Linked DNA regions of Macaca mulatta. Each later gene encodes a partner of the first gene's protein in a complex. Links are inferred from orthologs where the notes say so. Each region holds a gene or a part of one and is shown on either strand. Other genes may lie near its edges.

What was found.
Region 2: CTNNA1 (region 1) and CDH26 share a complex: the UniProt entries of both Homo sapiens proteins name them as parts of the cadherin:catenin adhesion complex. The link is inferred for Macaca mulatta from reciprocal best matches to the Homo sapiens genes CTNNA1 and CDH26.

The regions. Positions count from the first base shown.
Region 1 is NC_133411.1:147,788,410-147,791,978, reverse strand, and holds part of CTNNA1 (catenin alpha-1), read right to left. Parts: intron 930-3,569; coding exon 729-929; intron 166-728; coding exon 14-165; intron 1-13. UniProt on the Homo sapiens protein: Associates with the cytoplasmic domain of a variety of cadherins. The association of catenins to cadherins produces a complex which is linked to the actin filament network, and which seems to be of primary importance for cadherins cell-adhesion properties.
Region 2 is NC_133415.1:112,774,658-112,778,226, reverse strand, and holds part of CDH26 (cadherin-like protein 26), read right to left. Parts: coding exon 3,551-3,569; intron 1,184-3,550; coding exon 998-1,183; intron 1-997. UniProt on the Homo sapiens protein: Cadherins are calcium-dependent cell adhesion proteins. They preferentially interact with themselves in a homophilic manner in connecting cells; cadherins may thus contribute to the sorting of heterogeneous cell types.

The DNA of each region.
Region 1 (3,569 bases):
TGCAGTTACTCACCCTTATCATCAGCACTGCTTTCCTGATGTCCCGGATACCATCATATACCAGGCGGGAGGCATCGATAAACTCATTCTCATCCATTGGCTGGGCAGGGTCCGAGCTGAGGGCTTCCACGGCCGCCTCTACTTGCTCAGTAAAACGTGGCATGACTGTGGAGAAAGGGGCACAGCAGATGTCCTGGTATGCAGGCAGCATCATTCCCCTGACCCTCCCTGAATCACTCAGCTAGACAGAAAGAGGTGAGGCTTATGATGAAGAGCCTCTGCTTCTATCTATGTGAGGAGTATTTATGGTTGAAATAAATGCAGTATTTTACAACAACTCAACAACTCAAATCATCTTTTTCTCTGCAACAGAGGGATTGGATGGTTGAGGGATTGGATGGTTGAGAACTTGGAAGTGAGACTAACTTGAAGCCTTGCTTAAGAATAGGACCTCAGGTTAATAGTTTAACCTGAGGTTAAACTCAGAAATTCATCTTAAATAGTGTGTTTAGAATTAGTCCCATGATTACTCATGAGATACACATGAAGAAAATATGCTTGTGAGGCCTGAATTTGGCTATGACCAACTTCTCAGGAGCCCAATGTGCCATGAGACCAAATCTGAGTTCCCGACTCCTCCTTCCTCACCACAGGGCTGGGCTAATCGGGTGGCCTGCCCTACTCAGGTTGCAGTGTGTGCGAGCACTGAAAAGCTAGAGTTCCCGTACCTGTGTTGGAGAGAAGCTTAGTGGCTTCCAGAACCTTCTCTGTGTAGACTCCAGGCTCATAGTTGTCCATCTCTGAGGTGACTACGTGAATGACCCGGGCTGCCCGGCCTCGAATTGCACCAGCTGTGCGGTCCAGGCCATCCACATCCTTCTCCTGGAGAGCAATGACACATTTGTTCACATCTTCCAAAATGTGATTCTCTGGAGAACAAGCAAAAAGCTGAATGAGGAAGGAGGCCTTCTATGAGAAGGTGGCAACTGTAAGCTGGCATCTATCATTTATTGTTTGCTTGGTGCCAGCCACAGTGCTGAAAGCTTTACATATATTTCATTGGAGAGACCAGTGACTAGTGACAGAGACAGAAACTAAACCTGTTATCACCCTCAAGAATAACAATCTTCATTCCAGGCTTTAAAAATAAAACAAAATAAAACAAAAAACAGGAGACATGCCCATCTTTGAGACACAGTTGTTCTGTAAGCCTGGCAGAAAATCACAGAAGCATCAATAACTTCTCTTCCTCTAGCTTCACTGACCCTGTGTCCCAAATAAAGGAAAGGCTAAATTAGAACAAAAGTCCACTGTCCGCTCTCCCTCTCCCTCCAGGAGATGCTGATGATATTCAGACAATCTACCAAGAAGCCAGTACAGCCCAGGGATAGGAGAAGGTGCTGGAAAGCAGGTTGAAGCCTTCTCTAGAGGAGCCTGAGGCATGAGATGAACTATTTAATAACCCTCTTCATGGTACACAGATGGGCTTATTGTGATATTTGAAGGGTCCCTAGAGGTGAAAACCCCTGACTCCTATGAAGCTGATGGGTGGCTCCTAACAGTCACACAGCTGAATTTGGGCAAAACACCACAACTATTTTTCCTCAAAGGAAAAAGCCTGACACTATACATTTTTAGGAACCCCACCACAAAGAGTTTGCTCAAACTCATCTATAATAACAACGTGGAAGCAAACCAAGAGAAGAGTGGATAAGTGAATTATGGGAACTATGCAGCCATTAAAGTGCATATCTGGAGGCTGAGGCAGGAGGATGGCTTGAACCCAGGAGGCAGAGGTTGCAGTAAGCCGAGATTACGCCGCTGCACTCCAGCCTGGGCAACAGAGTGAGACTCCGTCTCAAAAACAAAAACCAAAACAAACAAAAAATACCTTTCCAGAGAAGGCCAGGAAATAGTAAGAATTCTTATTAGAGAAGGGAAAACTAGATTACTGCAATATAGTTAAGACCATATTTTGATCTCTATTAATTACAGATTATGAGACTTGCCAGGGTTTATACCAATGAACTAATGAAAGAGTAAACATATTAAACTTCTAACATAAACACATTTTAAGAGGGACATTTAAACCAATTACAAGAATAAACGGATTTGGAGCCCATCACAAGCATTTCTGAAGTATATAAACTCTAATAATTCAAACTAAAAAATGTACTGAGCAGGCCAACCATACAAGGTCTTGGGTTAAAAATTGTTGCTTTTACTGGATCTAACACGATACCATTAAGATGAAACTTGCATTGCTAAGGAAAAGAAAGGAATAAAATGGAAAGTGTGTTGATAACAAAACTAAGAACCAATATTTTCTCATATCATTGATTTTAAGACTCATCCCTGTTTCAGAATCAATGAAGTATGGCATTCCTTCCCGTTCATTAAACAAAGTGACCCAAACTTCTACCAAGGATTTTTTAACCTTTGTCTAGATACATCTATTTTTTTTTTTTTTTTAAATCCATCTAGACTTTCTTGAATTCATCCTGGCCTTCTTCTAGATGAACCTAAACCAGGAAAGGGTACGCCATTTTTTAGAGTAACATTCCCCACTTCAGGAAGCTGAACAAAGTAATATTCTCTACCCTCATGAAACACTTGTCTCTAGGAAAGCCCCAGCCTCGCTGAGGCTGCCGCCCAGGACAGAGCACCCAGCCTCCTCTCCACAACTGAACCTGATGCGGGGAGGTGCGAGTCCACTGTTTAACGGAGGGGGACAGGCTGTGCCCACACTAACTGAAACCATAAATCATTTTAGCTAAGGAAACAGCATAGGTCCACTATGAGTAGATACACAAATCTGTACCCATGAACAGCTGTCCAACACATGATTTATAGGTGTGCTTCTAATAGAAAAAAATCATACACACACACACACCAGTCCATATAAAATATGGACAACTATATGTAAATGAATATAAAAGGAATTATATTATGGACACTATTGTATCTTTTTCACTTGAAAACCTTTCTAGGTATGGCCCTACAGATCTACCTCATCCATTTTAATGGCTGCATAGTACCCTACTGAAGAGATGGAGGGGCTATAATTCACTTATTCAATCTTCCCTTAGACATTCTGGTTGAAGAAAACATCCCTCTACAGGTATTTTGGCAAACATTTGCGACACTCCCCTAGAGAAAATGTCTAGCAATGAGATCGCTGAGTTAAAAGGTATATATGTTTAAAGTAGAAGTATGGTACCTAATTGCCCTCCAGGAACGATGCCGATTGGCATTCTCCATAAGAGATGTCAGAACTTCAGTCTACAATGTGTAGCGATAGAGCCTCTTCTTTGTACCCTCTGCCCTGGGTATCTTTATAGCAAGCAGCGTATGCAGGGCTGCTGCACACAAAGAAAATGAAAACGATGTTTCATACTTTATGTAGAGGATTTACCCTGTGACATGAACTATTCTGAGGGCTTGCCATGTAAACTCTATGTAGTAGGCTTAAAAAGGAAAAAAAAAAATCACCGGCCAGGTGATTTCTGATTACATGGTGGCTCATGCCTGTAATCCCAGCACTTTGGGAGGCTGAGACGGACAGATCA
Region 2 (3,569 bases), on another chromosome or scaffold:
TAGCCTAATGAAACATTAATGAGACAACCATGCTGCAAAAAAAATCAGGGGAACTTAGGGAAATATAGATATTAATGATCATAGTTATTCAGGGTACAAAGTGGTCAGTTGACTTAAAAGGATTAAAAGGCTGGGAATATTTTGAAAATTCAACCCCAGGCATCTGGTGCAATGTCTACAGAGCCTTGCTATTCATAGCATGGTCCGCAGGCCATCAGCATCCCCTGGGCGTTGGTCAAATGGGCAGGCGAATCTTGGGCCCTGCACCAGACCTGCTGATTCAGGTCTGCCTTGTGCCCAGGTGACTCACCTGCACTGCACTGCACTACAGGCCCTGGTCACTCTAGGTCTGGTTGTGAGCAATGAAGACTAGAGGCACTGGGGTCAGACTACCCCAGTGGGATCCTCCACTCCACCATTCAAGCTGTGTGGCTTTGTGTAAAGGACCTAACCCCTCTGGCCTTTGGTTTCCTAATCAGTAAATGAGAAGGTAATATTAATACTTTCTTCCAGGCCAGCTTCTCCATTAGGCACAGTGCTAGAGGCTCTCCATACTCTTAGGGGCCACATAGATGCACTCCCATTTGTTTTAAACTTTAAAAGTCTTAAACATTGAAAATTCAGATGAAAAGAAAGAACTTTTAGTGTCAAAGAAAATAGTTTCATTTTTTAAATCACATCTGAAAAAGAATAATCATTTTAAGGCCTATGTAAATCTATTATGTTATGCCTACAACAACAAAAAATTAAATGGTGAAGTATTAAGTCATATCAGAATAAGTTTTATTATTGATATTATTTTGGTAGGAGGAGTCCTCAGCCCATACACAGAAGTGGCACTGAAACCCTACCTTCCTTGCCTGGTGACACATGGTACGTAATGGTCTCAGCACCCAGCATCCACGGGCGTTAGCTCCTAGTTCATTCTGAGTGATCCTACAGCAGAGGCCTCAGCGTCTGCCACCACCTGGTTGGTACATCACTAATATGGTGTTACCTTGATAACATTTAATATCCCTTCGTTGGTCTCAGGGTCAGTCAAAATGTCAAAATGTCCTTCTTCGTTGCCATGCAATATGTTGAAATTTGCTCTCCAAGCTGATGTAAATGGAGAATCTCGATCTTGAACCAGGAGACGCACCACGCCCTTGCTGACTCGGCCTTCAGGAATCTGAATCTTATACTGAAAGAGGCAATCACCATGTGCATGTCATGGAGACAAAAACATAATTGAAAAGGCAAGCAGAGAGGAAGAAGGGAGAGACGCAGAGAGCGAGCGAGAGAGAGAAGGAGAAAGAAAATTTCCTCATCACAACGTCCTGGATATTCCTCATGCTGCTGAACCTGCACAATACCCTGGATATTCCTCATGCTGCTAAACCTGCCCTAATGGATTTGCAACCTGCCTGTTATAGCAGAAAGTGCATCTGTTGGAATATCTGCCCCTCCTACCTGTGACTTGCTAAATAATTTTTAAAGTACTCTTAAATCCAACTCAATGCCCTATTTTTTCTAAGAATTTTAAAAATAACAATACGCAATCCTAGTTTATGCTCTCTAAAAATCCTAGCTCTTCCCCTAAAATAGGACACTTGCGGTTATTCAGATTAATGTGATCATTTTTCTAACACATGTAGATCTTCGAAATAGCTTGTTATTCAATATTTTTGGAGACAATGTTTCTAGACAAGCACTTCAAAATAACACGGTATATTTTTTTCCAGCGTATTTTTAGAGCATTGGTTTTTACCAAGTCAGGAAAAGATTTTGAAACAAGGTTCAAGCATAATATTATTTTGTAGTTATTATATACTTCTGGTGAGGTGCTTTGGTTTGCAAGCATTTCACTTTGGTTTATACAGGTTTTTTTTTCTAATTAAATGACACCTTTTAAAAAATAATTGTTTGCATCATTTATTCAACAACAGCTTCTGTGTGCCACATTCCATTTCAGATGCTGTGAATAAGACGGGCAAAAATTCTGTCCTTGATGGAGCTGAGAGCTGAGTGTGTGTGTGTGTGTGTGTGTGTGTGTGTGTGTGTGTAGGAGGACTTATAAAATAAATAAAGCTAATTGATTAAGTAGAACACTACTAAGCAGAAGAAAGCACAAAAGGGCTAGAGTGTGTCCCAGGAAAGAAGTGGAAGGGTTTTAACTCAGTAGTCAAGAAAGGGCTCACTGAGAGAGTCAGGAGAAAGAAGGAAATATGGTGGATATTTACTTTTTTAAAAATACATATGGAATAGTAAAAAATAAAATATTGGAAATAGATCGTGAGTGATTCTTATTTTATCTCTTAGCCATCTCACATGCCTTAGGTGAAGCATCTATCCCAAATCATCTTACACAGTGGGTTTCAACACTTTCTTAGAGGCTGGGAGGCTTGCAGCCTGGGAAATCCCACGTGGACCCTGACATACAACGTTTTTAAAGGGTCACTGCAGTTACTTCTGTACTTGGATAAGGTAAGATGAGGAGGGTGAGGCCAAAGCCTACCTGCTCACCTTCTCTCTAGAATCCTGAACATGGTGTGAAAACCTTGGGTGCAGACTTCTTACCCAAAGGTGATTCTTCTCCCGAGGGACATTTGGCAATGTCTGGTGACACTTTTGGTTGTCACAGCTGAGGGGCGCTACTGACATCTACTGGGCAGAGGCCAGGGATGCTAGTGAATATCCCGCAGCACACAGAGTAGCCCCCACTCCAAATAATCATCTGGCCCAGTGTCAATTGGGCTGAGCATAGGAACCCCTGACTCCAAGTAAACAGGAATGCCCTGTCTTCCCCTAGAGCTCAGTTTTCCCATCTGTAAAACAGAAATCATGTCGTAGTTTCAATAATCAAAAATGAAAAAAATGCATGTAAAAGTTCTTAGCACAGTTTCTGGCATACAGCAGTCAAAAATGTAAGCTCATGTGACCATTATGAAGTGCTTCTATGTCAATATGATTTGGCTTCTTGATTCCAGCTTAAGTCACTTTGGAGAATTGCACATATCTTGGGTGACTCCCCGATATAGTTTGGAGATTTGTCCCCACCCAAATCTCATGTTGAAATGTGATCCCCAGTGTTGGAGGTGGGGCCTGGTGGGAAGTGTTTGGATCATGTGGGCAGATCCCTCGTAAATAGCTCTGGCCATCCCCTTGGTGATAAGGAAGCTCTGGCCCTGAGTTCACATGGGATCTGGTCATTTAAAAGCGTGCGGGCCCTCTTACCTCTCTCGTGCCTCATTCTCGCCCACCCACACCCTGTATCTTGCATGCTCTTGCTGTCACCAAGCGACATGCCTGCTCCCCCTTGTCCTTCCGCCATGATCATAGACTTCCTGAGGCCTTCCTAGAAGCTGGTCGGTGCCAGCACCAGGCTTCCTGTAAAGCCTATAGAACCATGAGCCAATTAAACCTCTTTTCTTTATAAATTACCCAGTCTCAGGTATGTCTTCACAGCAATATGATAACAGCCTAACACCCTCCCCAAGAAAAACTGAGCCTAGGGCCCAGGGGCTACTTGTTTTGGGGCTTAGACGTCGGGGCAGCCCCGGTGGCTCACGTTCTCCTGGGTAAATATG